Linked DNA regions of Rhinolophus ferrumequinum. The protein of the gene in region 2 binds, or shares a complex with, the protein of the main gene of each other region. Links are inferred from orthologs where the notes say so. Each region holds a gene or a part of one and is shown on either strand. Other genes may lie near its edges.

Evidence for each region. The genes of interacting proteins can lie anywhere in the genome.
Region 1: the proteins of PI4KB (region 2) and ACBD3 are in contact, whole or in part, in an NMR structure (PDB 2N73), measured with the Homo sapiens proteins. The link is inferred for Rhinolophus ferrumequinum from reciprocal best matches to the Homo sapiens genes PI4KB and ACBD3. Residues at the interface, in NP_001317650.1 of Homo sapiens: Val37, Gly38, Val42, Ile43, Asp44, Pro45, Val47, Ala48, Gln49, Lys50, Ala51, Cys52, Glu54, Val55, Leu56, Val59, Lys60, His63; in NP_073572.2 of Homo sapiens: Gln245, Ile246, Ala249, Leu250, Gln253, Thr254, Gln257, Phe258, Tyr261, Gln265, Tyr266, Leu276, Leu280, Gln283, His284, Gln287, Tyr288, Gln291, Leu292, Val295.

What each region holds. Positions count from the first base shown.
Region 1 is NC_046310.1:14,191,785-14,199,327, reverse strand, and holds the start of ACBD3 (Golgi resident protein GCP60), read left to right. Parts: upstream 1-4,525; 5' UTR 4,526-4,585; coding exon 4,586-4,871; intron 4,872-7,543. UniProt on the Homo sapiens protein: Involved in the maintenance of Golgi structure by interacting with giantin, affecting protein transport between the endoplasmic reticulum and Golgi. Involved in hormone-induced steroid biosynthesis in testicular Leydig cells.
Region 2 is NC_046305.1:51,330,261-51,337,748, forward strand, and holds the start of PI4KB (phosphatidylinositol 4-kinase beta), read right to left. Parts: upstream 3,013-7,488; 5' UTR 2,573-3,012; intron 1-2,572. UniProt on the Homo sapiens protein: Phosphorylates phosphatidylinositol (PI) in the first committed step in the production of the second messenger inositol-1,4,5,-trisphosphate (PIP). May regulate Golgi disintegration/reorganization during mitosis, possibly via its phosphorylation.

The sequences.
Region 1 (7,543 bases), on a different chromosome or scaffold from region 2:
CAGGTAGCACTATAAATAGACAGTTTGGTGTAAACTGATCAATGGCCCATGATAAATAGCAAGGACTATAGGCTGGGGATTTGTTGCAAACTTGAGCGCACATGTCTGTCCTCAAGGAAGCCTCTACATAGCTCTAGCTCACTGTTGTCTAGACCACTGCCAGGCCCAGTGTCACCAAATTTCTTAATTTTTAATGTAAGTCAGAAATCTGGATTTTTTTTTTTTACATTACAATTCCAGATTTTAAAATGCTAGCAACCAATCGAGATTTAAAGCACTGTAAGCCAAGTAAAAGACATTAGTGGGCAGGCTTTATCCTGTGAGCATCCAGTGTGCAAACTTTCTTCTACATTTTATTGGAACTTTGTCTATGAACAGTGGCCAACGTTTATTAATAGTTCACTGTGTGCCAGGCAGTCCTTTTCAAAGTGCTTTACATGTATTTCCACATCCAGTCTTCTCAACAGCCTAAGGGGAGATACTGTATTATCCCCATTTCACAAAGGAGGAAATGGAAGTTAAGTAACCCGCTCAAAGCAAGTGCATTCCAATTCTGGCAGCCGGGCCCTAACACAGTGCTTCTCACATAGTCTCACCTACTGGACCGTGATTCCTGCATTTTAGATACCACAGACACCCACCTTTGGGTTTCCTACAGTGTCTGGCACTCCTTACATTGAGCTGAAATTATACTGCATGTTACAGATGTGAATATACCTTCATTCATTCACTCAGTAAAACATTCAGAGTACGAGGCACTCCTTACGTGTACATTGAGCTGAAATGATACTGCATGTTATAGATGTGAATATACCTTCATTCATTCACTCAGTAAAACCTTCTGAGTGCCTACCATGTTTTCTGTCCTGTGTTAGGGACTGTGGGAGTCCAGGGACATGGCCTTTGCCCTAGGAACACAAAACAATTATCACTACTAGAGTGTACTGCATTACTAAATAAAACTAACTGCAACATTTTACTAAGTATCAATTATTAATTCACCACATAAAGCAGGAAACGTATAATTAAACCCAGTCTCTGGTGATCTAACAGTATTTCACAAAGGTAAAAATGTGTGGAGAGAATGAAGGGAAAGGTTGATTTTAGGGAAGAAACTTCAGAGAGCACTTCAGAAATGGTAACACTTCATCTGACAAATGATTGAATGGAAAGAAACTTAACTGAAATGCATGTGACAAAGATGGTTGGTTGAAAAGTACTCTCTTTTGTATAGGAACAGACTTGGGGAAGATATTTGAAAGGTTTCAGAAAATACTTCTTACTAACTCTGTACTTCCTCACAATAAAAGATAGGAGTATGGAAATACAGGTAGTTTCTCTGAACTGGTTATAGAAGTCAGATTCTATTGTGACAACACATTATAACAAATGTCTATTGAAAGTCTTGGGGCAGAGAGGGATTACAGAAGGGTTGATGGATGTGTTTGCTATCTTGATTGTGGTAATGGTTTTATAGGTATAAGCATATGTCAAAACCTATCAAATTGTAAACTTTGAGTATTTGCAGTTTATTGGATATCAATTGTATCTCAATAAAGTTGTCAAAAATTTCCTAGACTCTTGCTATGCAAAGTGTGTTCTGTAGGGGTGGCCGGTTAGCTCAGTTTGTTCGAGTGGGGTGCTCTTAACAACAAGGTTGCCAGTTTGACCCCCACATGGGCCCTGTTAGCTGCGCCCTCTGCAACTAGATTGAAACAACTACTTGACTTAGAGCTCGTGTCCAGTCCCTAACACAGGACAGAAAACATGGAAAAACACACTTACAAACAAAAATGTGTTCTGTAGACAGCAGCTGCCACCCAGAATGCTTATAAGAAATGCAGACTCTTGGGCCTCTCTCCTGAATCAGAATCTGCAGTTTAGTACGATCGTTAGGTGATTCTCACGCACACCGAAGTTTGGACCTCTTATTTTCACGAATGTCTGGAACTCATTTCCTACAATGAATTGTTAAAGGGAAGTTATATTCACTAATCTTTTTTAGGTCACAAAGAGCAATTAACTACCTACAGGACATTCCTTGATAGTTCTGTTAGGAAGAAGTTTAAATGTTTGATCTAGATGTATAGATTTTTCAAGAATATTCAATGTGTTAAATTCCAAAACAATAAAAAATGTCAGTAATGATAAGTTTATCATATTTTACCTGTCCGTCTTCCCAGGTGTATTCTATAGGTTTTAATATTTATACTGTTTTTAAAAATGTCTTTTTCTGCTGACAAAAGAAACGCTTTCTATAGAAAACTTGAAAAACAGCATCTGTAACAGCATGAAATAGAGTTGTGTTTACCAATCTCATTATCACCTCAAAAGTTATTGAATACTAACGGTAGTACACAGAGCTAGACACAGCAAGGTAAGATATTTATGACTTTCTAGAGGTTAGGCCTTGTAATATGCATATTTTTAAAGTAATTAAAGCTAAAGCTAAGGATCCCCGCTAAGTAGAAAAAAAGAAACCACTTGGCTTGGAGTAATAGAATGAGTTTTGAGTCCCCTTCAACTATAGAAGTCAGTTTACCATAAGTTAATGAAACTTAAGCTTCCAGGTCCCTCACTTACCTAGGCCCTTTCCAAGGCCCTTGAATGAGCACTAGCAATATATTCACCTGGTCAAATGTTTCTGTAAAAGTTTCTAAAGTAAGATGTTTAAGACCATTGTCTCGTGGCATTCTGACTTCCTTCCATCGTTGCTCCTCTGTGTTAGGTGGTGTAGGAATGGCTACGGGCATTTTTAGGATCTGGCTAAGGGGACAATGATTGAATTAGGGATACATTTAATTTGGGTTTAGAGGCATGCATTTATGTGGTTTGCAGTCATTTCCGCATACTGTGAAATTATTGCTCACCATGGGTGTGGGAATGGCTTTCTGGAATACACCTAGTGCCCATTATGCCAACTCAGCCAGTACCATGTCACAAAGGTGAGCGCCAGATGGCAAAGACACTCTGTGATGCCCGGCACAGGAAATATACGAGTGGTGGAGGAGAAACACTATTTGAAAGAAAAGGAGAAATTAGTCCCTAGAAAATCCTTCCAACCATCAGAAGTAAAAACTTGTAAGTGGCGGGAATCAATTACCTCAATGCCTACTCTAAACTGCTTAACCTAAAATGGAGGTTCTCACTCATCAGGAGTCTACCTAGTAATGTCAAACTCGTATCTACAATTATAAATGCCCCATACTTATTTTTGTTTTTATGTGAATCATGCTAAATGAAATATATTAGAATTCCTGAGTTTATGTAGTTGAACCACAGTGAGTATCTATATGTGAAGTCACATTTTTTTTTTTGCATCTTAATGGATCAGATCTCCTCTTAACGTAGCAGATAAATCTTGTCCGGTAAAACACAAGGGAGCCGGAAAAACCATATACAAAATTGCCATTAAAGCAGCAAAACAACCCTGAAATATTATAGCTCACATGTGAGAGAAACTTGATACGGTTTCCCCAAATTTGACAATAAACCTAAAAAAGTGCACGCTAATGTCAGTAATGAGTTGTGAAGCTGAAACTTATAAACCATAATAAAAAACCCTAATTTGTGATCACCACGCTAAAAAAGACTGATCTATCTTAATAGAAAATATTACAAAATAATTGTCATAGGAAAAGGTGATCAAAAGTACGCAACCAAAAACGTGGGGAAAATGATCATAAATGGTGTCCATAAAGTCATCTAGAAACACAGGTGAATATGCTTATCTTTAAAAAAGTAAAATAAATTATGTTTCTGGACTTTCGGATGCCCTGTAGAAGTGTGTCGGGCAGTTAATAAGAATGTTATGGTTATGTGTGTTTGTGGGTTTTATTAACTTTTCAAAATGTCATTTGTGACTTCTTTCACATTCTAAATATTCATTTCCATACCTAACTTTCCGCTCCTAATATTTGGTATTTTTTTCTTAATGAGGGTCCCAGCAGTTGTTTGAGCTTGCATTCCCTCAAAACCTGGATTTGCCGGTTTCCAACCACCTCAGAGAAGCCACTGAATTTCTCTGCAGCCTCAGTTTTTTTCCAAAAAAAAGGTATTTGTCGGGCATTTCCGGAGTTGCTGGGAAGACCATATGAAAACTGGTGGGGTAGAGTTTTGAGAGCCAAACTCTGCAAATGGGAAGGGTCTTTGACCTGGAGGGTAGGGAGCTTGCCTGTAGTCACCAGGCCTGCACAGACCACACGCGCGGCTTCTCCGCCCTCCGAGACAGCAATACCCCCCCACGCCCTCCGAGACAGCAATACCAGCGGGACAGAGCCGAGGGGCGGGGACGGTGCGGACCGGGCAGGGGGCGTAACACACCCTCCCCACCCGAGGGGATGAGGTGGGAACGGAGGCAGGGCGCTCAGGACCCCCGGGAACTGGGGGGAGTGACGGGCGGTTGGACACAGGACACAACTGCTGGTGTTGAAGGGGCGGGGCACTAGGCCTCAACCCCTTTCTAGGAGCCTTGGAGCCTTCTCGGCACCGGAAGTTCCGGTGTCGATCAGTGGAGGTCAGAGGTCAGCAGGAAGTCGATACGTGGCCGCCGCCTGTCCCCGCTGAGGAGGCACAGCAGCCGGAGATGGCGGCGGTGCTGAACGCGGAGCGACTCGAGGTCTCCGTCGACGGCCTCACGCTAAGCCCGGACTCGGAGGAGCGGCCCGGTGCAGAGGGCGCCCCGCTGTTGCCGCCGCCGCTGCCACCGCCCTCTCCTCCCGGGGCCGGCCGGAGCCCGGGCGCCGCCGGCGAGCACCCGGAGCCCGGGGAGGCGACGGCTGGGGGCGCGGCGGAGGAGGCGCGGCGGCTGGAGCAGCACTGGGGCTTCGGCCTGGAGGAGCTGTACGGCCTGGCGCTGCGCTTTTTCAAAGGTGAGCGGGACCGGCTCCGCCCCGCCGCCGCCGCCGGGCCCGGGAGCCCGGCCCGGAATGTGGCCCCTAAGGGGACTGAACCAGTCTCACCTCACCCACCCGTACTGGGCCGCGGCCGCGGGAGCCGGGCTCCGTCCTTGGGGGTCCCCGAAGTTTGTCACTACCTGCTGGGCCACTGGGTCACACCCCTGCGGGGCCGGGAACCTTGGTGTTGCCGTCCGAGTCCCGCCTCCCTGAGGTTACCAGGGCATTTTACCTGATTTAGCTTCTCGGGTTTCCACCGGCCGTGGTGGAAGAATGAGTCCTCTCTTTCTTATCGGATCCCATTCTGGAATTTTTTGACCGTCACATTCCTTTTCATGTTTTCAATAGCTTGGCACATCACGCCCCACCGATTTATAACCTTTTCCCGTAGTGGAAGGAATCTTTTCCTAGGCTCCGTACGTACCCTTTCCAGTCATTCCGGGGAACCATAAACTCGAATAGGACTTGCTCACCTGGCAGTATTGATGTGGCAGAAGGAAGTCAAGTATCAAGCTAACACATCCTCCTCTGGCTTGTCAAACTCTTAAGAGAAGGGATGCCAGCTATGTTCTAGTAACTTCTGGATGGTTAAAATTTTACCTTGTAAGCCATGTGCCAAGAGCGAATTCTCAGAATAAGAGTTAAAAGTACCCTTGTGCTTCTTGCAGAATAAGCTGTTAAAATGTCTCTTGTCTTAGAGCAAGATTGTGGTGTGTGGGATTTTTACTTGGGTGGTTGATTCACTTAGTCAAATGGTGGTGGTAACAGTCACATGATACCAGTCAGTGGGAAAGACTGACCAAAAGTCCGTTAGTTTGATTCTTAGAGATATTTAGTGCTCATGAGCCTGGCAAATGAAACTTTAGAAATGGTTGCGAGGTTCCATATACATTCCAGAACATCATATTTATGACACATCCCAGAGGGAGTACCTTTTGGAGTACATATTTTACTAGATGAATTTGAGTCGTTCTGTGTACCGTGTTTCCCCCAAAATAAGACCTAGCCAGGCAATCAGCTCTAATGTGTCTTTTGGAGCAAAAATTAATATAAGACCCGTCTTATTTTACTGTAAGACCCGGTCTAACACAATATAACATAACATAACACCGGGTCTTATATTAATTTTTGCTCCAGAAGATGCATTAGAGCTGATTGTCTGGCTAGGTCTTATTTTCGGGGAAACAGGGTAGTGATGCATGCAAAAATTATTTGCTGTTTCTCAAAATAACTTTAATTGTGCAGAGTAATGAAAGTCTCTCGTCTACAAAATTTCCAGAACAGTTGATCATTCCACATTCATTATACTTTGTGTTAAAAAGTTTGCTCTTGAAATAATTGTCATTGCACAATGAGTTCAGCCCTCTGTGCACTAGCTAGCTTGGGGAATTGGATATGGCTAATGGGTTTTGGGTCACTTGACCCTTGAATTTAGAGTTTCCTGTGGTGATATTGCTTATATAAAAACGTGGTGGTTTCTGTACAATTCATATAACTACATTTTACCTTAAATTTTTATTCTTAGAACTTATTTTTCCAGGGTTTAGTAAAGTTGGAGTATATTGTAGCAGAATAGTGTGTAAGAATAGAAAAGACCGACTTCTAATCCTGGCGTTTGTCACGTGACTAACAAAAAATAAATGGTAATTTTACCTTCTGAGCCTGTCTTATTTGAAAATAGTAGTATATGTTCTTTGAAAGATTAAAACAGTATGATGTACAGTAAATTTAGTTTTGGGTCAGGAAGCCCTGGATTCTATTGGTAAACTAGACAATGAACTTTCCTCTTCCACATTCGGTCTTCATATGTATACATACATATTAATATATATATATATATGGATTAAATGAGATTTGATGTCTCATATTTAATATTTAGTGGTCTAAACCTAATATTTTGCTGAGTGGTGGGACTCCTAGGGGAATCTGTAGTTTGGGGTCCTAGTCATCAGTCACTTTAGAGGAAAAAACAGCTGCATTGATAGGTATGGTTCAGTCAGTTCCTAAATTAAGCTTTCAAAGCATTATCCACATACTGAAAAGAAGAAATAGCAGTGTAACAATTAAAAGCTACCTTTCTGCATGGATCATTGCAGAGTTAGCAATGAAGAGGCTATTAGTACATGAGATGCCTAATTGGGGCGCGGGGGAAGGAAGGATCTGAAAGCAGTCAGAAGAATTAGGGGAGGTGGGATGAGAAATATGTTGCTGCTTTTGTTTTAATGTGTGAATTTTCCAGTGTAATACTTGGCATTTTTATCAGTCTTGTCAGGACTTCTAATTCTAATAGATCACTATTTTGCAGTTCTGTATTCGTATCTCACAAGAATTAGACTTAACATTACACTTTATTTTCCACTGTGGAATAAATATGAATCTTGAAAGTATGGATATCTTTTTTCCATGGAAAATAACTTGGATGGGAATCAGGAACCCTGTTTTTCATTCTGTCCCTGTCATAGTGGTTACAGGCCAGTGATTGAACCCATCATGTCAACTACCTACCCTCTTTATTTTATGAAAGTAAAATAATAGGTGAAAATACGGACAAATACCAGTTGGCATTTCATCATCTAAACTTTAGACATTGTTGAGTCCTTATGGTGGATAAAATTTTATATTAGATTACCACTATAAATGAATAGTCC
Region 2 (7,488 bases):
GGTCCCTCCTCAAGTCCCAAAGTCTATCTCCAACCTCGCTCATCTTTCCCCCTCGACCTCAGTGGTGACGATGGAGATTGAGTACCACTTTTTTCTTGGAGAAACACAGGGCCAAGCAGTCAAGCAGGCTCAGGCCCTGCCGGGAACCAGGTAATTGTACCCAAAGCACCAAGGGGGGTTGACACCAGGAGAGAGGGCATTCTCAACTACCAGCAGGAGGGTAGGGAGGGCAGTGGTCTCAGGATAGTTAAGTCAATATTGAATTAGGCTGAGAATTCTCTGTGCAAGGCCATCGAGCTGGTATAAGCAGATTCCAGCCAGACAGCCCAAGCCAGCTCTGGGAGCCTCTGCTGAAACAGACAGATGACAAAGCAACCTGTCGGCTCACCTCTGTCTGAACTGTTCCTCCCTACTGCAAGCCCCAAATGCACTTGGACTAGGCCCTCTCTTGTCCCCTGCCAGGTACGGAAAGATTTCTTCCAGACTTCCTCCCCAAATCAAAGAATCTCAATTCGCTGCTTTGGATAGTGTCCAGCAAACATGTTCTCCTGTGGTGTGGACCCAGCTCTGAGAAGGCAGCGGGGGAACTAGGGAAATATGATTTCTCTTTGGGGGTGCTTCCAAGGAGCGAAGCTGCTCCTAAAAAGGGGGGTTCTGAGTAGACTACGCTCTGGCCAACTAGGAAGGGCAAGTGAGATGAGGCAGTGGGATTACTTTCAAACAGGCCCCGAGTCAGATGATGAATGGAACTTCACACGCCCTCTTCGCCAGCGCAGGCCGAGAGACAGACACGGCGTACGAGGGAGCAACTGGTTTCCTAAGTCCCATCTCACTCCAGAGTTCTCTTTTCCAGCCAGCTTCCTCAAAGGGCTTGCCCACAAACATACTTCCACCTATGGAATCTGGAGTTATGGGTCAAGTGCAAGAGGAACGGAACAGCACCTTAAGGCAGTGGGAAGAAAGAAGCAGGCCTGGAGCTTGTCTTTCAAACTGACTTACGCCCATGGCTATAGACTAGAATGACCCAACAGAGGGACCAGAACGAAGGAGAATTCTCAGGATAACTAAACCACCACTAATAAATACTTTTCGTCTGAGAAACCCAGAGTGTGTTGTAAACAAACAAACAGTCTAATTTTACCCCCACCCCACACCCTGCTATTAGCCAATTATTGCACTGATGCCTAGAGAGTGGACCATTTTCCCAAAAAGGTCACTGTAGAGGTCAAGCGTGCAAGTCACACGTTGGACCCAGGAGTCCTGATTCTGAATGTACAAGCTCTTTCCCTTGTTTCCTGATCCTTTTTCCAGTGACCCACCCCCCAACCCCACCCCAGCCCTAAGCTCTCAGGGAATCAACCAAAACCATTCTAGTAAGCTGATTCCTCTTGCATCTGGCCAGAGGTGGGAGGACCCTCTATTCTGTGACCCCTTTAAGACAAGCCTAACATTACATAATCCAAAAGGAAATTTCTCACAACCTCACTTAGTTTCCATGCAGGACATTTCCCCTCCACTAGTGACTGATTCTGAGTAGACAACAAAGTGTAATCTGATCGGGGACTTCTTCAAAACCTGCTCCATCCTTCAGAAACACTCTTCTGTCCAGGAAAGCCTGAATGACACAGCTAGGCTCCCCGTCCTCCCAACACATTTTCTTCTTAGTTCAAGGTTTAGCTGATCCTGAAATGAGTTGTACATGGAGATAAAAGAGTGTGACAGAAAGAATACAGACAGACCACGGGGAAAACAGAACCCAGTGTCCCATGGATCAGCAAAGTTCTCGAAACTCGACGGAGAAAGTGTCAAAGTTGGAAGTGCTGAACGGGAAGGGGTGCTGTTGTATCTTCTCACTTCTATAGGGACAAACCTCCAGAGGTCGGGGGATTAGGGAGGGATAAAGGGAAGCCAAAGCAAGTTCCAGGGGTCATAAAGAACTCCAGAGAAGAGGAGCAAGGATGAAAGTCAAAGTAGAATGCGAAGGATACGTTGGGAATGACGCTGAGATCCTTTAAGGAGAGGGGAATAGGCAATTCTTGGAAGTGAGGAGCTTGGTGGGGGGCGGTGAGGTCATGGAATCCGAAGCAGCAGAGGAAGAGAGGGCCCCAGTCTTTAGCTCAGGGAAATGGGAACTCTGCGCGGAGGCTGCAGAGACACTGGAAGAAAGGGGCAAAATAGGAAAAGGGGTAAAGGCGGAGGTCATGGGAAAGGTTTGGGGCAGGAGCACCGACGACGAGGAAGGACAACCAAGAATGGACATTCTAAGAGGTGTCCTGATGTGCAAAGAGTTCGTGACTTAAGGAAAAATAATTCGGGACGGAGGCAGCAGGGATAAGAGTGAGGGAGGGGGGAATCCCCGGGGCAGAGGGAGGAGCTAAACAGAAGAGGAAGCCAAAAGGCACAGGAGGACCCCAGGCTTGAATGGACACGGTGGAGAAGGACCCGGGGTGCAGCTGCCACCGGGAGGGCAGTTTTGTAGTCGAATCCAGGTGTGGGGGCGGGGGGGAGCCGTGCGGGACACGGTGGGAGAGGGACCCACACGAGGGGGACTCCCGGGGTAGGAGTCGCTTACCTCCGGGGGACCTCCGCGGAGGGGGTGCGGGCGGTCGGGGTCGGGCTGCCGACACCGCCGCCTCAGCAGCAGCGGCCGCTCCCGGGTTCCATTGGCCGCCTGCGCTTCCCTGACAGCGGCCGCGGCGGCTGCACCAGGCCCCGGCTGCGGGGCTGCCCTCGGCAGCGCCTGAAGGGGCCTTCGCGCTGTCTCAAGTTCGACCGGGCCGCACAGCCTTCTCTTCCTCTCTCCGCACAACCACGACCAAAAAAAAAAAAAAAAGAAAGAAAGAAAAATATAAATCCCCAGCAGGGCTCGATTCTTCTGAGTCCAAGCCCTTCTTCTTGGGATATGCTTTCGTGCTCCTCCGACGCTCAGGACCCTGCCGAGCCCATAGTAATCTAAGGAGGCGGGTGAGCTGCCCGGAACATGCCTGTTCAGAAATAGAAAAGGGGGCGGGGAAGATGGTTGGAAACTGGGGAGGGAGTGGCGTACGAGGGGAGGATCCTACGTGTGAGAGGCGGGGCCAATGTTTGGGAGGCGGGCCTAAGAGAGTTTGCGAGGCTAAGGAAGCCGAAAGGGAAGTGAAATTTGCTGGATAAGGGGCTAGGGCTCCCGTCCTCGAACAGAGTGCGGTAGGTGGGCGTGGGTGCCCTGTTAGAAGTACGGATATATAGGGTACTTCTATAAGTACATGCAAATTATATGTAAATAAGTCCGTTTGAGTTACCTACAGAGTTACCGCAATTGCAGTCAGTGGCTTTCCCCCGCACCCCTATTCCACACGACTCCCTTAGTAATTTATCAGGCCGTAGAATGGACGTTGGGGGCCCAGCGGGGAGAGGAGGAAGAGAGAGGGTGGGCGGGGAAGATAGTCACCCTCACTACCCTTTTCCTATTCACTTAAAGGACGATGCCGTGATTACGTCCCTTATCGCTTCGGGAATGGCGCGGTCCAACCACGTCAATCTTTCGCCGTTAGCGGTGCGACTCGAGGCCGCGGTTCTGCCTCAGAGGTCACCACCTGTCTGGGCAGCCTTTGGCCTCCAGCCTTTGGATTTCGATCCCTCCAGGGAGGGGCAGGACCGGGCCAGGTAGGGAGAAGTGAGTGAAATGATAAAAGCCTGGACGGCACAACCCTTCCTTCCAAACGACATCACGTACAATTAAACAAATAAAAACGCACCCTGCAAATGGACCTCTGGTGCTGGTTTGTGTATTTGCCAGTTCGCATTATTGATTGGGAGCTCTGTCAGTCAGAACCTCTGTCCTAATGTAACCTCTGTCCCAACCTTCGCAGGGCTTTATTTAATATTTTACATTGAGGTTAGTTATTTGAGCCCAGATCTTGGATGCCACCTTCCCTGAGGCTGATTTGGGGTGACTGATTTCACTTCTTTGCACCTAAGTTTCTATGTCTGAAAAGTGGGCCCGGGAATCTTAACACTTTACAGGGTTTTGGGAGGATTAAAATACAGATTAGTACTATGTATAGTACTATATTACTATTATTGAGACAATAATATAGATGATGAAAAGAGGGTAACTGCTTCAGTTTCATTGGGAGGCAGAATAAAGGTAATAGTATGAAAATAGCTGTGTAAAACACGTCATATGTGCAAAAGTAAAACAAATAGGGTACCTAATTGCTGAAGGAACATAGAGGAGTATGGTTATTTAATCCAGAAGGCCCAGCCACTCAGTATATGGCGAATGAGTGAATGAAAGGCTTCTCAAAAATATTGTGAGCTAGGTCTTAGGAGATTTATTGGATATGATCCAGCAGAACAAAATAAAAAGAGGAGAGGCTTAAAAACTGTATGCTGAAGAGTAGAAATGGGAATTTGCTCAAATCAAGAGGAGAGGGCAAGCTGATAAGCTAGGTTAAAGCAGGAGTACAGTAATGAAAGATGAGCTGAGAAAGAGGCCAAGAGTGCCAAAGATAGTTTAAATTTGTCACCACCCATCTGGAGTGGGGAGTCACCAGTCCACCTGTCAGGACCAGCAGCTCTTGGCCACCTCCCAATCAGCTGTCAGGCAAGTATCAAGAGGTGATGGCCCTGCTTTAGCCTAGTTTAAAAATGTCACTCATACATCCTCTCCAGGGGTAGGGTTCCAAAGGGCCATAAGACCAGCTTTTTGAAACATTGTAAAAAGGGATGTGACAGCCCTGCTTTTTATAGTAGGAAGTTTATTTTCCAATGACAAAAAAAAGAAAAAACAAAAACATTTCAGGAACATCTCTGGTCAAACTTTAAATAGCAACTTCTTATAGCTATAGGCAGTTATAAGTCCTTTGTTAACAGAGACCCCCCTCCCATACATAGAGTATTAAGTAGAAGAGTTTCTTTCAAGTGTTGTGTTTCTAGCTCTAAGAGTTCATATGTGTGAATTTCTTTGTATGTCTTTATGACTTTTGTCTTTCTGACTTAACTTTTGTGTTTTGGTTACTCTCTGTTTCTACGAGTCTCCCAGGCCCTCTATTCTGATCTCCTCAAGGCAAGAAAGGATTCATCTTTGTATTTTAACTGTACCTTTAGTTTCTGCCACAGGTCAAAGTTTATTTTGTTGATATAGCACCAGGAAAGTACCAACAGGGTCAGGTAATGTCATTTATCTTATTTACATTTCATCAAATTGGAGAAAGAAGTTGGCTTATGCATCAAAAGCTCGTAAAACTAGAGGACCCAAGTCAGAATACGGCTCCAGTTATATTTTAAACATCCCTGTGGTTAAAGAAATTATAAAAAATGATTTTTTTCCCATGGGTTTTTTTTTATTAGAAAAAAAGAAGCTAGCAGTTATTACTCAAGCTCCTACTGTGTATGAATATGAGGTGTGATCAAAAAATACAGTGAGTGTTTATATTTTAAAAAATTTTGATAGTGAAAGATCCATTGCCATTAATGCCCCTCAAAATACTTCTCCTTGCTTCAAACACACACATCCCATCATTCTTGCCACTTTCTGAAGCAATTCTGGAAGTCCTTTTTCATGAGTGTATTGTTGTGCTACCGTGGCTGCCTCGATGTCCTGAATCGATTCAAAACATTTACTTTTCATGGTCATTTTGACTTTGGGGAAGAGCCAGAAGTCACATGGTGCCAGATCTGGTGAATAAGGTGAATGAGGACACACCGCAATGTTTTTATTTGACAGAAATTGCTGTACCAAAGCAATGTGTGACACGGAGCCTTTCCGTTGTGATAACAAAATACGATGAATGCTGCTGCCCAGTGCCATCCAACGGAAAGGCAGGGATCTTCAATACGGGAAGCGGTGTGTGGAACCTTAGTAACAGTGAGTGACAAGTTTCAACTTGTTCGGTGCAGTCAGTCGGGTGTGAGCTACAGTTGAGAGAAGGTGTGTTGTATAGTGTGCCATAAATCATCCTCCATCATGACAATGCTCCGTGTCACACATCACTTCTGGTTTGGCAATTTCTGTCAAAAACATTACGATGTGTCCTCATCCACCTTATTCACCAGATCTGTTACTGTACAACTTCTGGCTCTTCCCCAATGTCAAAATGATTCAGGACATTGAGGCAGCCACGACAGTGCAACTAAAGACACTCACAAAAGAGGACTTCCAGAACTGCTTCAGAAAGTGGCAAGAACAATGCGATAAGTGTGTTCGAGGCGAGGGGGAATGTTTTGAGGAGAATTAATGGCAATGTGTCTTTTACTATAATGAATTTTTTTTAATTTAAACATTCACCAGATTGTTTGATCACACCTTGTACAAACATTACTTCATTTAACCCTGTGAAAGAGATTTTATCACATTTTATGGAAACTGAGCTCAGAATAGTTAAGACATTGTCTTTCAAAATTTTTTTACTTCAACCCATAAGAAATACCTTTTATATCATGACCACTGAAGAACACATAGACATGTCTTCACTGAGATAAGTTTCATGAAACAATACTTACCCTTACTATATGCAAAGCACTGGTATTTTCTATTCCATCTCACTTTTTAAAAATAGTTTTAAAAATAGTTTTCAATAGTTTTCAATAGCTAAATCAGTTTCACAACCTACTAATGGGTTGCAATCTACAGTTTGAAAAAAAACTGGACTAAATAAATGTTCAAAATCATATGGAAAGTGGTCAAGCTAAGACTGACACCAAATTCATGCTCTTTCCAGTAAACAAATGCCTCCTTGTGAACATTTAAGAAATACTGCATTACATGTATATTATACTTAGCTTTATCTCATTGTATGGAGCCAGCAGGAATATCCTAGGCAAAGGAGTAGACCTACTAGGAACTGTAACATGAGATGAAACACTTAGACAAATATATAGTGACATTAATTTGCCCATTTAATGTGAATGTGGCATTTGCTTTGATTTCTAAAGAAAGTTGATTGTTATCCACAAAAATAAGCCATAAATTCATTTATTTGGGACCACAGACTAGACATATAGTTTGTCTTGGTTTAATAGCAAAATATTATTTCAGATTTTAGTAAATTATAAATTATGCTTAACTTCATTTATGATAGGGCTAAAATAAAAGAAGATGACACGGGGTGGGGAGGTAATAGAAGTGGGGAACAGGGTATTGGGGACAGAATAAGGAATGGCAGAGGAGCAGTAGACCGTCTCCAAAATCTTAGTTTAGCCCTTCATCTAATGAGCTAAAGATTGCCTGAATTACAGCATAACTTGTTTCACGTTAGATTTTAAAAATAGAGTAAGTTTTTAAATAGGCTATAACATTCACATAAACGCCATACATTCGCCATAACATTCACGTAAATCTCAAAGTCATCCAGTGCCGTTCTCCCAAAGTGAATGGAAACATCCCCATCACCCCATCACAGTGAGGACAGTACTTCCTTGGGTGCTTCTATCCTATCACCAGTGGTTTATTTTCCCATATGCCCATCACCTCTAATGTGTCAGCTGTCTGGTCTAGTCCCTCAT